Linked DNA regions of Saccharomyces cerevisiae S288C. Changing the gene in region 4 together with the main gene of any one other region gives a genetic interaction. Each region holds a gene or a part of one and is shown on either strand. Other genes may lie near its edges.

Region 1 (3,149 bases), on a different chromosome or scaffold from region 4:
TTTTATTCAAACGATTTTCCAGATAATCTATCCCCTTTCTTCTAAGATATTCCTACAACTATCAAGCATTGTTCACAGTTCTCTTTTTTTTTTTCAGAATACATTATTTACTTTTCGCAAAGTATTTGTTTACATTCGGGCAGAACTGTAAACAGAAAAGAGACCAGCGGAAAGGCCTAAACCCGCAGCGTTGCGAAAATAAGATGATGCTTTTCGTAGAACCCTCTCATGGAAAAGTAGTCATGAACATATGAGCGACTTTAAAACATTGGAAACAGATTAAGAAGTTTTGTTTTCAATTGACTAAAGAAGGATAATTTGTCATCTTACTTAATAAACTACGGGAACGACCATCACGTTTCTTTTATGGATATGGTTGTTTCCGCTGATAAAAGAAGTCACTACGCTGATTGACTGTCAAAGTGTACACAAGCCGTTAAAACGTGGAAACGGCTACTTTCACTCTTTGGTTTGTCATAGTCCTGCTTATTACATTAAACTAATAGTATACACCTATTTTCTATATATGGTAATAGAAAAAAGAAGCATTTCACATAAATCCATTATCATACACCACGTCACCGTCCTTGCTAACACTTACACCAAATTCCAAGTCGTCGTCGGTAGTCATATCCCAAGTCTTGTAAACCATCATTAATGTGAACACATTACAGATGCTTCCAAAAAAGAGGCCATCTAAGTAGTGCTTGAACCCTTCACAAATTTGTGTAGAGAAGGCATAAACCAATACCTGGCCTGCTACAAAGAAAAATAGCCCCAAAAAGATAGCTCCTGTGACCCATAAGTTTCGAACTACCAATAGGGATACCAGTAATTGACAAATAACGAAAACGAATAAGAAAATGGCGTTTATTATGTAAACGACGACAATCATCCCTGAAGCGTTCATTGTTGCTACTTTATGGTCGGTGATCCATGCTTTGAAGGTTAAAATAGAGGCTAAAAAATTGGCTATGAATCCTAGCATGGACGTTCCACGGACCAACAGCATGGACTTTGTAGTCCCATCTTCCCATAAATTGAAACCTAAAAACCCGATTATCAATAAGGCCCAGCAACATGCACCCGCCAGTCCTATTTGTATAGCCACGAAGTATGGATATGACCCAGAGCCGGGGGGAGATACACCACAGTCTACCACCAAGGTAAATATTATCAATAGCAATGTTAGTTGGAAAAAGTAGAGATATTCAGACCTGCCAATAGCAGTATACTTCTGTCTTATGTTATAAAGTATGATTAAAATGACACCTAGAGCACCAATATTTATGAATGCGTTCCCGACATCAAAGATGACTGTATTGGCAAGATCAATCGACCGAGCATAACAGCGTGGCAGTACACCGACATTCAAATTTAAAGGATCAAAATCATGTATAATTGTTGAGTTCGAAAGTATTAGATGGGTTTTAGACTTTATTACCGAACATAATGGCAACGGGGTCTTTGAGCATATGGCAGCAAAATCACTAAATGCCATATTATATATATATCAGCTTTTGTATTAACAAAACCACAATTTTTGATAATAGTTTTGATGAAATAAACTTTCCACGTGGAGACAGCTTTGAAAAAACAGTTCAAAGTATGCCAGTGTAGCTTTGACTTTTTTTAATCTTTTTAGTTAAGTTATGCAATATGCTATTTTTATACCAAAATGGATCCTTTTTGATTTCGTGTCTTGTGAAACTTTTTCAATATTTAACCGTTTTAAGAAAGCGAAGCGGGCAACACCAGAAGAATGTCAATAACTTACTGTAACAACATAAAACATGGCATTTTAAATAGTACTGCCAAAATTTAATGCAATGGCAATTAGTTGGCTATGTTGCTACATATTATTTTCCATAGCATTCTCTGTCACAAACTTCAAAATAAAAGACAGTGACATCCGAACATCCGATACACCCATACATCATGAAAATAAATCCTGACATTGGAAGAAGTCTTGATACAAAAAAAGATCGCTGTCAAAAATGCGGCCAGACTGCCGCTGCATCGTACCAACAGTGCGTATGTTCAGACGGAGAGACGACCTCTAGAGAGACGTCCGTCGGTGCGGCAACGCTGACGGTTTAGTTGTTCGACGGGATGATGGGTTCCGCCAGGGGGAGGGAAGGCTTTCCACCAAGAGAGGTAAAATTATTCGTCGAAATGAACTCAGAGATACATCCATATTGTTGACAATGTATATCTTAATTGATGTGGTATTTTCACTGTTTTAACGTAAATTGAAGGAGATTAAGCAAAAAAACAATCAGTAATAATGGGTATGTGGACGATTAGGAATAGACAAACCATGTTATTTATCTCCATTAGGGCGTGAGAGTGTAATTAGTACACAGGTACTACTAGAATGCTAAAGAACTTTTTAAAATATCCTGAATCGTAGGGCAAATCCATGTCAAGCAAGAAACTAATAGTTATTAAACTTCATTTACTTTTGAGCTAGTTAAATATTTTCATCATTTCCTAAAGTACTGAACACCTGAATGATACTTTTATTGGCCCTTTTAATAAGAACTCTGGTTAGAAAATATATTGAGGATATCATTAGTAATACTCATTAGATATTTGTGAATTTAGCCGTTTCCCCATTACAGAAAAAAGATACAACTAATTACATGTGCAGTCAAATTACTTTTTTTTTAAGATCAATTACTAACAATCAACTATCATGCTAAATTTGCTGTGATATCATTTTGAACCAGTTAACGTCCCAAAGACCAGAAAGACCTACTGTAAGGGTAAGACCTGTCGTAAGCACACTCAACACAAGGTTACTCAATACAAAGCTGGTAAGGCTTCCTTGTTCGCTCAAGGTAAGAGACGTTATGACCGTAAACAATCTGGTTTCGGTGGTCAAACCAAGCCTGTTTTCCACAAGAAAGCTAAGACTACCAAGAAGGTTGTTTTGAGATTGGAATGTGTCAAATGTAAGACTAGAGCCCAATTAACCTTGAAGAGATGTAAGCACTTCGAATTGGGTGGTGAAAAGAAGCAAAAGGGTCAAGCTTTGCAATTCTGAGAGTTGTTATTGTTTATTGTTTTATTATATTTTTATAGTTATACTTTGACCATTAACTTTTTGTAAATTTTGCATACTTAACTCTTTAATATTGAAAACC
Region 2 (5,622 bases), on a different chromosome or scaffold from region 4:
AGACGTTCGCTTGTCTGAATAGGGAACGACAAGCATATTTTCTTGAACTATTCAACATTTTACTCTCGCTTCCCAAATTCCCCTTTCTATGGTGATATTATAAAAGATCCTGTAAGCTGCTGTTTTACGAAGGTATTGTAGACGATCCGTAGCCCTCTTTAGCAATTGTTTGACTACTATCGATGGGACTTCTCGAAATTCATACTTTGTTAGGTTTTCTTTTTTATCCCTAAAAAGAGCGAAAGGATCAAGCAGAAAATTAAAACAATAGGCTACATCATCGAAGTTTCAAAGACCGGCATATCCGTCCATTTTTGAAAACACCCCACCCAAAATTGTAACTATCGACAGATTCTATGATAGCTACCCCGGGATGAAGGGCAGTCTTCTATAACTTGGGGCGGCAAGCAAACCAACCGTCATAGTTAATAAACCACACGTTGGTTATTTAGATTTCTCGTCCTGCTTTTCTGTCGCCAATAGGGCAACCTTAGAAAAGGTTTGAGGATAGTGACTACATGCAATCAAGGTAAAAGCGTTATCGAATAAGTAACAAGCATTCCGTGCTAAATTGACGAGAATTGGCAAGATGCGTCAGCACTATTTGGAGCAAACACACCAACTGGATGTCTTAAAAGTCAATTCAACGACCAATTTATGTAACCAGCGTGACTAGGGCAACGAATTTACGTCTTTTTTCTAAACTGCATATGCTATGAAATTAAAGATATACTGCCTCTATAAAAACATTTATATTTTCCCTCCTTTGCAATGGAAATGAAAACGGCGGTAAAAAAATTCGTGAGAATAAAGAGACGAGTACAAAAGTTCAATTAAAAACGCCAGGAACTGTTCTTTATCTTATTCTCTCCGTACGCTGTGTCACAAAGCTCTTGTATTGTGTCTCGCTTTCTTTTTCCAGATCTATGAAACCAGAATCACACCGCAGCAGCGACGGCTGTACCGTATTTAAGAGAATCCGCATGGGAAAAGATTACAAATTACCCTAGACAAATTTATAGAAGCGGTGCTTGTGAGATTTACTCACATTCTAGGATTCGAGAACTAAGCATTGTAGTTCTTATTTACATCCTTGAACAAATACCTGCCTATCTCCGCACGTACTACGTAGCCACAAATGTATATATAATCGTGCGTTGTATTTGCGCCCTCACCCACATATTTGACATGTGCATGAGACTGGATATTTCTTGAAGCATATTCAATAGCGTCGATGGACAGTTAGCCCGCAGTTGTATTGCATTCAGCACCTGCATAGGTGACCCTCTTTGGCTGCCTATTTGGATAAAACGCGTTATTGGCGCTGGCGCAGACCTCGAAAAAAAAAATCAAAAATGAAAATAAGAGCATAAAAATAGAAATCAAAAATATTCTTTCCTGTGTTTCAGATTTACATTCAGTACCAACATTTCGACTTGTAGTAAATCCTGCTAGAAGAATCACATTGGTAGACGGTTATAAACGTTTACCGATTTGCAAAGTTCTCGAGTATTTTTGGTGTAGGTCCCATTTTCTTCAAAGGTCCTGTTTAGACTATCCGCAGGAAAGAAATTAGAATGACCGGCTTGAATGGAGATGATCCTGATGACTACTATCTGAACCTTAATCAAGATGAAGAGTCTCTACTTAGGTCAAGACACAGTGTCGGCTCAGGAGCACCTCATAGACAAGGCTCTTTAGTGCGGCCCGAAAGAAGCCGACTGAACAATCCTGATAATCCACATTTTTATTATGCGCAGAAAACGCAGGAGCAGATGAATCACCTGGATGTTTTACCATCAAGTACCGGTGTAAACCCAAATGCAACTCGTCGGAGTGGCTCCCTGCGCTCCAAAGGCTCAGTGAGAAGCAAATTTAGTGGCCGCGAAACGGATAGCTATCTTTTACAAGATATGAATACTACTGACAAGAAGGCTTCCGTTAAAATAAGTGATGAAGGTGTTGCGGAAGACGAATTTGATAAAGATGGTGATGTGGACAATTTCGAAGAAAGCTCCACGCAGCCCATAAATAAGTCTATCAAACCATTAAGAAAGGAAACGAATGATACATTGTCATTTTGGCAGATGTACTGTTATTTCATTACGTTTTGGGCACCTGCTCCAATTCTTGCTTTCTGCGGGATGCCAAAGAAGGAAAGACAAATGGCGTGGAGAGAAAAGGTTGCTTTAATTTCTGTCATCTTGTACATTGGTGCGATTGTGGCTTTCCTGACTTTTGGTTTCACTAAAACCGTTTGTAGTAGTTCGAAACTACGTTTGAAAAACAACGAAGTATCAACAGAATTTGTCGTAATTAACGGTAAGGCTTATGAATTGGATACTTCCTCGCGTTCCGGTATACAAGACGTTGAAGTAGATTCAGACACCCTTTATGGGCCCTGGTCAGATGCTGGTAAAGATGCTTCGTTCTTGTTTCAAAATGTGAATGGTAACTGTCATAACCTTATAACTCCAAAGAGTAATTCTTCCATTCCCCATGACGATGATAATAATTTAGCATGGTATTTTCCTTGTAAGTTAAAGAATCAAGATGGCTCTTCGAAGCCAAACTTCACAGTTGAAAATTACGCAGGATGGAACTGTCATACGTCTAAAGAAGATAGGGACGCATTTTACGGTTTAAAGTCGAAAGCTGATGTTTACTTCACTTGGGATGGTATAAAGAACTCTTCTAGAAACTTGATTGTTTATAATGGCGACGTTTTGGATTTAGATCTTCTTGATTGGTTGGAAAAGGATGACGTTGACTATCCCGTTGTATTCGATGACTTGAAGACTTCAAATTTACAAGGTTATGATCTTTCGTTGGTTTTGTCAAATGGGCATGAAAGAAAAATTGCGAGATGTTTGAGCGAAATTATTAAAGTTGGTGAAGTAGACTCCAAAACCGTCGGTTGTATTGCCTCTGATGTCGTTTTGTATGTTTCTCTGGTATTTATTCTTTCAGTGGTGATAATTAAATTCATAATTGCCTGCTACTTCCGTTGGACTGTAGCTAGGAAACAAGGTGCATATATCGTGGACAATAAAACAATGGATAAACACACAAACGATATCGAGGATTGGTCTAATAATATTCAAACAAAAGCTCCTCTAAAGGAAGTAGATCCTCATTTGAGGCCAAAGAAATACTCAAAAAAGTCGTTGGGACACAAGCGTGCTTCAACCTTTGACTTGCTGAAAAAACACAGCTCCAAAATGTTTCAATTTAACGAATCTGTGATAGATCTAGACACCTCCATGAGCAGTTCACTACAATCTTCTGGTTCATACAGAGGAATGACAACAATGACCACTCAAAATGCTTGGAAACTCTCGAATGAAAACAAAGCTGTACATTCCCGTAATCCATCTACTTTGTTGCCTACATCCTCGATGTTTTGGAATAAAGCGACTTCCTCTCCTGTACCAGGATCATCGCTGATTCAGAGTCTTGATTCGACGATTATACATCCCGATATCGTTCAACAACCACCACTGGATTTTATGCCATACGGGTTCCCATTGATTCATACTATCTGTTTTGTTACTTGTTATTCTGAGGATGAAGAGGGTTTAAGAACCACTTTAGACTCTCTTTCTACCACAGATTATCCAAATTCCCATAAACTACTGATGGTTGTTTGTGATGGTTTAATTAAGGGCTCGGGCAACGATAAGACTACTCCAGAGATAGCGTTAGGAATGATGGACGACTTTGTCACCCCACCTGATGAAGTTAAACCTTACTCCTATGTGGCAGTGGCATCAGGCTCTAAAAGACACAATATGGCCAAGATATATGCGGGTTTTTACAAATATGACGATTCTACAATTCCACCAGAAAATCAACAACGTGTCCCAATCATTACAATTGTGAAGTGCGGTACTCCTGCAGAGCAGGGGGCCGCCAAACCCGGTAACAGAGGTAAGCGTGATTCTCAAATTATTCTGATGTCCTTTTTAGAAAAAATAACATTTGATGAAAGAATGACTCAATTGGAATTTCAGCTTTTAAAAAATATTTGGCAGATTACGGGGCTAATGGCAGACTTCTACGAAACGGTACTTATGGTTGATGCTGATACTAAAGTCTTTCCCGATGCTTTAACTCATATGGTCGCTGAAATGGTTAAAGATCCTTTGATTATGGGTCTTTGTGGTGAGACCAAGATCGCTAATAAGGCACAATCTTGGGTAACTGCAATTCAAGTGTTTGAGTACTATATTTCGCATCATCAGGCTAAAGCTTTTGAATCTGTCTTCGGTTCGGTAACTTGTTTGCCGGGATGTTTCTCAATGTATCGTATAAAATCTCCTAAAGGTTCAGATGGTTATTGGGTACCTGTATTGGCAAATCCAGATATTGTTGAAAGATATTCGGATAATGTTACAAACACTTTGCATAAGAAGAACTTATTATTACTTGGTGAAGATAGATTTTTATCTTCATTAATGTTAAAGACTTTCCCTAAGAGAAAGCAAGTATTTGTTCCAAAAGCTGCTTGTAAAACTATTGCCCCTGATAAATTCAAAGTCTTACTTTCCCAGCGTCGAAGATGGATTAATTCTACGGTACATAACCTTTTTGAATTAGTTCTAATCAGAGACTTATGTGGCACTTTCTGTTTTTCCATGCAATTTGTGATTGGTATTGAATTGATTGGTACTATGGTACTGCCGTTAGCCATTTGCTTTACTATTTATGTCATTATTTTTGCCATTGTATCAAAACCTACACCCGTAATCACTTTAGTTTTACTGGCAATTATTCTTGGTCTGCCCGGCTTAATTGTTGTTATAACTGCTACGAGATGGTCGTACCTATGGTGGATGTGCGTATATATTTGTGCTTTGCCTATTTGGAATTTCGTACTACCTTCATATGCGTACTGGAAATTTGATGACTTCTCATGGGGTGATACGAGAACTATTGCGGGAGGTAATAAAAAGGCACAAGACGAGAATGAAGGTGAATTTGATCACTCAAAGATTAAAATGAGGACATGGAGGGAATTTGAAAGGGAAGATATTCTCAATCGGAAGGAGGAAAGTGACTCCTTCGTTGCATAGACAGTATGAAAATATTTTTACTGTGATACTTACAAGTTGATATATGGTTGTGTGTAACTTATTTATTTGAGAGGTATTTTAACACACCTTAGAACTAAAACTTAATAAATAAATATTTCTCTATCTTTAAAGGCACATATTACGTGGCTAAGGCAATTACAGCTGATATACTGTAAAACTCATGTCGCCACTAAATTCTTCTAACACGCGTTCTGTCTCTTTCCAAGGGACTCCGAATATGCCACTATTTATCTGTGGCATTTCCAATTTATATTCCCCTATTGGGTATTTGATGTGGCCGTTTAAATAGTCACCGATTGAATCTTCACTTGTTCGAGTTTTGTCTTTTGCTTCTCTAAAGGTCTTCAATTTATCTAAAGCAAGTTTTGTATAATTCAAAATACTTTGCTTTTCTCCATGACTTGAACCTCCAAATGATGATGTAAACAAGCAACAAATCAGCAGATCTGAGTTTTCGTAACTGGGAAGTAATATGCATTTGCCTAGTAAATTAGAACCATACTTTTCGCATACTTCAACGTAATCT
Region 3 (5,933 bases), on a different chromosome or scaffold from region 4:
ATAAATGGACTAAGGATCTGGGTTGTTGGTCGTTATATAAATAATAAGCTTATACCCCTTCCTTTGGACAAGTTTTTTCCCTCATAATTACGTCTATATTTTATAAATATCATTGTAGTATTCGCATTGTTTAAGTGGTTACCATTTGAAACGACTCATACAGACAAGCGGTTACAGATGAAGCTTTCTGAAGGCACAGATCAGAAGTATTTTAATGTCGGTTGTCTATTAGTGGAACCAAAGTGACTACACACCTCCTCTGTCTGGAAGAAATAAATTCTTAGGGTCGACTCCACCATTTCAACTTTAGTATAATATGACAATAAAACATTATTGGGACTGAGAACGATTATATTAAAATTAGTAAAATACATACATAACTACTTATAAAAAAAAAAAGAGAAATTTGCCATTTTCACGAGTATAAGCACAGATTGTACGAAACTATTTCATATAGCTTGTTTTAGTTATTATCCTATAAAATCTTAAAATACATTAATCTAGAATCCAAACGGATTTGATGCAGTAGCATTGAATATGTTGGCTTGCCTTGATTGTTGAGGTCCATTACCAAACCCAAATCCAGTAGGTTGGTTCTGTAATGCTTGTTGTTGTGGTTGTTGCATAGCACCCCCAGTGTTAAAAGTGTTCATCATCTGTGGTTGTTGCATAATTCCATCGGTGTTGAATGTGTTCATCATCTGTGGTTGTTGCATAGCACCACCAGTATTGAAAGTAGTCATCATTTGGAGCTCTTGCATAACACCACCAGTATTGAAGGTATTCATCGTTTGTGGTTGCTGTTGTTGAAGAACGCCCCCTGTACTTAAAGTATTCATGGCTCCACCAGTGAACTGGTTCTGGTTTAATGGCGCAATACCTCCGGTTTTTTGTAAAGTCAAACCGAATTGGGATTGCGGCCGGAACCCGCCAGTGTTTTGAGCTTGAGAGCTGAACGAAGTCTGGGGAATCATGGCGCCTCCAGTATTAAATGTATTCAAAGCACCACCAGTTCTCTGCAAAGGCATCATTGCTCCCCCTGTAACTTGTGGTAAAGCATTGAAGGACGTTTGAGGCATCATTGCTCCTCCAGTAATTTGTGGTACAGCATTGAAGGATGTTTGAGGCATCATGGCACTCCCTGTATTTTGAGGTTGGGTCATCATTGCACCACCTGTTAATTGCTGTGAAACGCCAAATGATGTTTGTGGAATCATAGTGCCGCCTGTTCTTTGTACAGTTGGCATTGAGACACCAGTATTAGCTGAAATTAATCCATTAGCAGTTTTTTGGACAGGTAATATTGAACCTGTTGGAAGTTGTTGTTGCCCCTGAACATTGAATGAAGTTTGCGGGAATTGCGCACCTCCTGTGGTGGCAATTGGTATTAGGCCACCTCCAGTTTTTTGCAGAGGTAAGACGGTAGCTGCTGCGCCGAACGTAGTTTGTGGCATCATTGCGCCGCCAGTGTTAGAGATAGGAATTAACCCATTTCCTGTCTTTTGAACAGGTAGGATACCACCAGTAACTTGCGATTGCATACCAAAAGTTGTTTGTGGTACAACGAAGCCGCCGGTTCTTTGCATAGGCAGCATATCGCCCCCAGTAATCATTGGCATCATCACAAAGCCAGTAGATAAGGGTAAGATATTGTTGCCACCGGTTTTGAATGGATCCAATGGAGCGGGAGCAGATGAAACCGGAGCAGATGAAACCGGAGCAGCAGGAACAGTGGTGCCGCCAGTTTTCACGGGTTCCAAATCTTTTAGGTTTGGTTCAGGTGTCGAGGCAGCTGCCTTTTTAGGTTCTAAAGGTTGCAAGTCTAATAAATCCTGCATGGAACCAGTAAATTCTGATTTCTTAGAGAGTAAATTAGATTCAGACTTAGAAGCCGGTTTAACAGTCCAAGCATCATCTGTCTCAGCTGATGTGGAAGGAGCTGTTTGAGCAGGACTTGTTGTTTGTGGCAACAATTGCTGAGGCAGTGAGGTTTCCGGACTTGTAGCAACGTTCAATGAACCATCAGGTTGTGAAAACATATTTCCAGTGGCATTTGTAGGAATTGATGCAATATTTTCTCTTCCAAATTTCTTGTCAAGATGTTTCATTACTCTAACAATATCACCTTCGCGCAGACCCAAGGTTCTTAACATTGAGTTATTGATGTCAGGCATCATGTCTTCAGTAAGCTGTTCTCTATCAAAATTTATTGTATATCTTTGACAATTGCTTACATCAACGCCGCAATTCAAGAAAAATTCGAACCAATCATATTTGTTACTGGAGTTGTTGTTATTGCTGCTTTCGGCTGGTGGTACGGACGTCGTATTTGGAACGGAGGTAGTAGAGGTTGGTCTTGGTGGTTTTATTGGAGGCAATTCCTTTTCTTGCAACCTTGATCTTTCTTCATCTAGGAGTTCTCTGGCTTTTTTCAATTCGTATAATTCACGCTCTTTCAATCTCCTATCGCGTTCTTTTTCCTCCTGCTCCTTCAATCTCCTTCTTCTTTCTCTTTCAGAGTCTCTTGAATCAGTGCCACGGGAACTAGACCCATCATTCGCCTTAAATTTCTCTAAGGAGAACCCAGTAATTTTTTCCACATACGCTAAATCTTCATTGGATAGTTTATCAGCGGCGACAGCAATCTTGACACCATTAGCCTTGTGCAAGTGGATTTTCCCCTTAGCACATCCAATGAATTCTGCATCCACTTTGAAAGTACCACTTCTATCAACCCATAGACGCGATTTTTTTGGATTGGGGAAATCTTTGGTCGCCGAAGAGTTTTTTTTGTGAGAGGACAATGAACTTTTTCTTGACCTTTTACCGGCAGCACTACCTACAACATCGTTTTGTAGTTCATCATCTTTCCAACTGGCATTGGCATTGGATTTAGATCTTGATCTAGATCTCGACCTAGATGGAGATTTGGTGAAGTTTTTCTTGATAGACTTGATGATACCGCTTGCTGTAGATTCAGTATGTTTTTTGTCACGAACAGGCTCAATAAACTGTGCAGGAACGAGACCGCTTTTCCCTGAATCAACCAGTTGGCACATCCACCAGTCCTTAGATTTTTTATCATCTAAAATGTAGACTTTATCGCCTGATTTTATGGTTAATTCGTCCTGTGATTCAGCCATGAAGTCATATTGAACAATACCTCTCTTTTTGGATTTGGAAGCCATTTCGACTTCTCTCAACCCAGGATCACGGGAAGCACCTTTATATTCACCAATAATGTTCATGATCTCTTCACATGTGGTGGTATTACCAGTGTGTAATTCAAGGCTTCTATATGGATCAACAAATTCCAAGAACATGTGTTTCTTTTCGTTATCATAAGAGACCAATTTATCAATTGACCACTCATGAGGAGTCCCCTTTTGGGGTATGAAGTTTATCTTGTTGTTACCGATTGATAGCTTGGCCTTCTTCTTTTTCCTTCCCTCGATTTCGGTAACGTTCCAAGAGTGATACTCTGTATTGTATTCGTGATTTCCAACGTTGTTGCTGTTGCTGTTGTAATAGTAATCATCCTCTTCATCGTCATTATCGTTATCGCTGTATGATAGTCTTGTACGAGATCGAACAGCCGCAGCGGTGGCATCAGTAGTTTCGGTAGTAGCCGTTGGTCTTGCAGGCATGGCAGGAGGAGGGCCCTCTTCATCCTCATCTGGAGCTTGGTCTTCTTTACTTTGCATCATACGAGCTCTATCATTGTGTTGAGGAGGTGGTAAAAAGTTGGTGGGTAGTACGGCAGCAGAAGCAGGAGCGGCTGCAGGAGTAGCTGCAGGAGCTTCAGCGGCAGCGGGAGCCTGTTCCTGCTTGGAAGTGGACCCATTCTCTGGTTCGACGTAATTGCCTGGAATGAAGCCGAATTCATTGGAAACGGTAGACTTAACCAACAGCCAATCAGCATCTTTATCATCGAATACATCAAAAACGTCATTTTCATGAAACGTCAATTCTTCATCAGCATTTTGCACCTGTTCATAATCATAAATGGCTCTTACCTTCTTCAAAACAGGAGCTTCTTCAATGTAAGTGGAGGGCACTAGACCCACCGGTTCTTCGCTATCGGAACCAATGACTCTTTTCTTTACTGTCCACCAATCGTCAATGTCTGACTTCTGTAAGAGGTACAACAGATCGTCTTCTTGGATGGCCAGTTCTTCTGGTGTCTGCGGCTCATAGGCATAGACGGCCCTATAGATGCCCAGAAACACAGTCATACTCTAGCTCTTTTGTATATAACACACTCTGTCGCCTTGGCTATGTTACACTATCCCTTCTTTTAGGATTGCAATAGATATACATAGTATATATGCGCTAAATATTCGTTCTGTTTTCGTCTGATGTATCTCGATTTCGCATGAGTGGAAGGAAGCCCCTTTTAGGAATCGTATAGTCACTTTCTACGAAGCAACATTCTACCTCTATCAATTACATGGTTTAATCTACGCAGGCATGTTCTCTAAGTTGAGACCGCCTATGGGAACCTATAAATCGTGATTGACACCGTTTGCATATTATCACTTTTCTTTTCCTTTTAGCCTCGCTATTCCTGGGGCTCTCTATGTGTGATTGGAAGGGTAGAGACAATTGTCCTGCGCCGGCAAGAAAAACATCGTGTGTCTCTAGAGCAGCTTTGCATTCTAATGTGCGGTGGAAATGGTGCGAAAAGTCGACACTTGACAGGGCTTCCAACTGCTGGCGTGGCACATAACTGCCCAGCAGTGAATGGCCTACTTCATACTCCACCTGTGCCGCATCGGCGAGCGACACTTTACCGCCTAGGTAACCATGTACAGCTACTCTTTTGGGCTTGGATACCTTCGCTTTACTATTCTCACTGCCCTCTATGCCCTTGTCGGTAGCATGAGATTGTTGCGTAAGCTGTTGAAGCTCAGTCGCACTGAACACTACCTGGGATGACTTTTCCAGCGCTGAAAGCCCTGCGAGTACGTCATAGTATCCCATATTACTTCCACTCATTCTCAGCTATTCCTTGTTAACACCGTGCTCTGCTGCTTTCAGGTAAAGCCATTATTTCCACGACAACTGCATTTCACTTTTCATTTTCTTCCAGAACAACAGGCGCTGCCCTTGTTTCCGCGGAGCTGCCTCCTCTGCCGCTCGGACTTTCCGCGGAATAATAAATGAACTATCACAGTGAGTCTTAGAATGCAAATATGTAGATACTGTTATAGAATCTCATTAATGTATTTATGTATTTCCTGTGTTTGTGTCTTCAGGAGCCTTCCAAAGCAACCATAGGTCTTAGGCGACAACTGCATCAGCAGTTTTATTAATTTTTTCTTATTGCGTGACCGCAATGAAAGTGAAGAAATCAACTAGATCAAAAGTTTCGACAGCATGTGTCAATTGCAGAAAAAGGAAAATCAAATGCACAGGTAAATATCCATGTACCAACTGCATTTCTTACGATTGTACGTGTGTATTCCTAAAAAAACATTTACCGCAGAAGGAGGATAGTTCCCAGTCTTTGCCTACTACAGCTGTTGCTCCACCCTCTTCCCACGCCAATGTAGAGGCTTCAGCAGATGTACAGCATCTGGACACTGCGATTAAGCTAGATAATCAATATTACTTCAAACTGATGAACGACCTGATACAGACTCCAGTCTCTCCGAGTGCGACGCATGCTCCTGATACTTCCAATAATCCTACTAATGATAATAATATTCTCTTTAAAGATGATTCCAAATATCAAAATCAACTGGTTACGTATCAAAATATTCTGACAAATTTGTACGCTCTGCCGCCTTGTGATGACACTCAGCTCTTGATTGATAAAACGAAGTCGCAGTTGAATAACCTGATTAACAGTTGGAATCCCGAAATAAACTACCCCAAGCTTTCCAGTTTCTCTCCTCGCCCACAAAGATCGATAGAAACGTATCTTTTAA
Region 4 (2,614 bases):
TGGAAAAAGGTTTCATGATTTTCTTAATGGCAACTGGCTGAGATGTCAAAGTGTCCGTGGCTGAGCAAACCAACCCAAATGCCCCCATCCCAACGGGGTTTAAATCATTGTATCTATTTGTGATCTCGAAAACTGTACCGAATATCTGTGTCCTAATGAATTCCTCGTTAGTGGTCATTATTATATACGATAGTTGTAGTTTTCCCTGTTTTCCCTTTGTTCCTTTTTTTCGAGTCTAGTATTTACCAATATAGAAGAAAGAGAAAATAAATAAGGTTTCTTGTTAGAGATTAGTTACTTTTGCTATTATTATCGCAAATTCCTCTTCCACTATACAAACAAGAAAGTAATTACTACTCTTATTGTAAGATAGTATGATAATTTCGACGATAGATAATATTTGCTTTTCGTTGGCCTTTTCTTTTTTTTTTTCCTTCCTTCCCTTCGAAGATCCTCCCGTATAATAACGCCGCCAGACCATGTAGGGTAACCAGAGAATACGCCCACTCCGCTTTCGCATGTGGCACTCCTGTATGTCAAAATGCCGAATAATCTCCATCCATGACGAAGCGCTTTGAGGTGTTTAATTATATACAGGGCAAAGTCTTGGAGATAAAGAACGCTTTCCTAACAACTTGCGCTATTCCTCTTATTTCCTTCAATCGATTAAAATTAACTTTTAATCGACATTGTCTTTTAAACCAGGGCAAAGCAAAATAAAAGAAACTTAATACGTTATGCCGTAATGAAGGGCTACCAAAAACGATAATCTCAACTGTAAACAGGTACAATGCGGACCCTTTTGCCACAAAACATACATCATTCATTGCCGGAAAAAGAAAGAAGTGAAGACAGCAGTGCAGCCAGCCATGTTGCGCCAATCTAATTATAGATGCTGGTGCCCTGAGGATGTATCTGGAGCCAGCCATGGCATCATGCGCTACCGCCGGATGTAAAATCCGACACGCAAAAGAAAACCTTCGAGGTTGCGCACTTCGCCCACCCATGAACCACACGGTTAGTCCAAAAGGGGCAGTTCAGATTCCAGATGCGGGAATTAGCTTGCTGCCACCCTCACCTCACTAACGCTGCGGTGTGCGGATACTTCATGCTATTTATAGACGCGCGTGTCGGAATCAGCACGCGCAAGAACCAAATGGGAAAATCGGAATGGGTCCAGAACTGCTTTGAGTGCTGGCTATTGGCGTCTGATTTCCGTTTTGGGAATCCTTTGCCGCGCGCCCCTCTCAAAACTCCGCACAAGTCCCAGAAAGCGGGAAAGAAATAAAACGCCACCAAAAAAAAAAAAATAAAAGCCAATCCTCGAAGCGTGGGTGGTAGGCCCTGGATTATCCCGTACAAGTATTTCTCAGGAGTAAAAAAACCGTTTGTTTTGGAATTCCCCATTTCGCGGCCACCTACGCCGCTATCTTTGCAACAACTATCTGCGATAACTCAGCAAATTTTGCATATTCGTGTTGCAGTATTGCGATAATGGGAGTCTTACTTCCAACATAACGGCAGAAAGAAATGTGAGAAAATTTTGCATCCTTTGCCTCCGTTCAAGTATATAAAGTCGGCATGCTTGATAATCTTTCTTTCCATCCTACATTGTTCTAATTATTCTTATTCTCCTTTATTCTTTCCTAACATACCAAGAAATTAATCTTCTGTCATTCGCTTAAACACTATATCAATAATGCAATTTTCTACTGTCGCTTCTATCGCCGCTGTCGCCGCTGTCGCTTCTGCCGCTGCTAACGTTACCACTGCTACTGTCAGCCAAGAATCTACCACTTTGGTCACCATCACTTCTTGTGAAGACCACGTCTGTTCTGAAACTGTCTCCCCAGCTTTGGTTTCCACCGCTACCGTCACCGTCGATGACGTTATCACTCAATACACCACCTGGTGCCCATTGACCACTGAAGCCCCAAAGAACGGTACTTCTACTGCTGCTCCAGTTACCTCTACTGAAGCTCCAAAGAACACCACCTCTGCTGCTCCAACTCACTCTGTCACCTCTTACACTGGTGCTGCTGCTAAGGCTTTGCCAGCTGCTGGTGCTTTGTTGGCTGGTGCCGCTGCTTTGTTGTTGTAAACTTAGTTTATTATTATTTATACATTCTAAATTTTTTATAAACTTTTTTGGCATTTAACAAATATATAACAATTGGGATTTAGTAGAAATTCTTTTAATTTCTTCTTTTTTTTTTTAATCTATATTTATTCTTTTTCTTTAATTTTGTTCGAAACGCATATAATGTTTTTATTGATTTTGTTTCAGGTTCCTGAACCTCGCGGAGTTCCTATTTTACTGTTGTTTTTTTTCAAAACACAGGGGTACCTTGAAGTATACGCAGTGCCTCTTAGCCAAGGATAATATAAACACACTAGAACAAAAAAAAAATACTCCTTGTACAGAATCGTTTTCTATTTTGAATTTTTTTTATATAAACATGGTTTTATTGTCTATTACATAGCATCTACAAATGAGCCAAGACACTTTCGACTGAGGAAACGGTCACATCGGTACCTGGGTTGGTTTCCTTGGCAGCGTAAGTAACGATACCGTTTTCAACAACCATGGCCCATCTACCACTCCAGTAAACAC

Evidence for each region.
Region 1: mutations in CCW12 (region 4) and CHS7 together harm fitness more than expected from each alone (negative genetic interaction), as found in Saccharomyces cerevisiae (7 studies listed by BioGRID, with this or other methods).
Region 2: mutations in CCW12 (region 4) and CHS3 impair growth when combined (synthetic growth defect), as found in Saccharomyces cerevisiae (5 studies listed by BioGRID, with this or other methods).
Region 3: mutations in CCW12 (region 4) and SLA1 together harm fitness more than expected from each alone (negative genetic interaction), as found in Saccharomyces cerevisiae (4 studies listed by BioGRID, with this or other methods).

What each region holds. Positions count from the first base shown.
Region 1 is NC_001140.6:381,890-385,038, reverse strand, and holds CHS7 (Chs7p), read right to left. Parts: upstream 1,502-3,149; coding exon 551-1,501; downstream 1-550. Other genes in the region: 60S ribosomal protein eL42 RPL42B, read left to right, coding at 2,288-2,291, 2,733-3,049. UniProt on the Saccharomyces cerevisiae protein: Chaperone required for the export of the chitin synthase CHS3 from the endoplasmic reticulum.
Region 2 is NC_001134.8:283,881-289,502, reverse strand, and holds CHS3 (chitin synthase CHS3), read left to right. Parts: upstream 1-1,577; coding exon 1,578-5,075; downstream 5,076-5,622. Other genes in the region: putative thioredoxin peroxidase SCO2, read right to left, coding at 1-58; POA1 (ADP-ribose 1''-phosphate phosphatase), read right to left, coding at 5,232-5,622. UniProt on the Saccharomyces cerevisiae protein: Polymerizes chitin, a structural polymer of the cell wall and septum, by transferring the sugar moiety of UDP-GlcNAc to the non-reducing end of the growing chitin polymer.
Region 3 is NC_001134.8:212,132-218,064, forward strand, and holds SLA1 (cytoskeletal protein-binding protein SLA1), read right to left. Parts: upstream 4,236-5,933; coding exon 501-4,235; downstream 1-500. Other genes in the region: HIR1 (Hir1p), read left to right, coding at 1-44; LDB7 (Ldb7p), read right to left, coding at 4,456-4,998; drug-responsive transcription factor PDR3, read left to right, coding at 5,339-5,933. UniProt on the Saccharomyces cerevisiae protein: Component of the PAN1 actin cytoskeleton-regulatory complex required for the internalization of endosomes during actin-coupled endocytosis. The complex links the site of endocytosis to the cell membrane-associated actin cytoskeleton.
Region 4 is NC_001144.5:369,184-371,797, reverse strand, and holds CCW12 (Ccw12p), read left to right. Parts: upstream 1-1,699; coding exon 1,700-2,101; downstream 2,102-2,614. Other genes in the region: mitogen-activated protein kinase HOG1, read right to left, coding at 1-178; YLR112W (uncharacterized protein), read right to left, coding at 588-1,007; YLR111W (uncharacterized protein), read right to left, coding at 1,075-1,407; thioredoxin peroxidase AHP1, read right to left, coding at 2,487-2,614. UniProt on the Saccharomyces cerevisiae protein: Component of the cell wall. May play a role in the formation of a tightly packed outer mannan layer, which protects the inner glucan.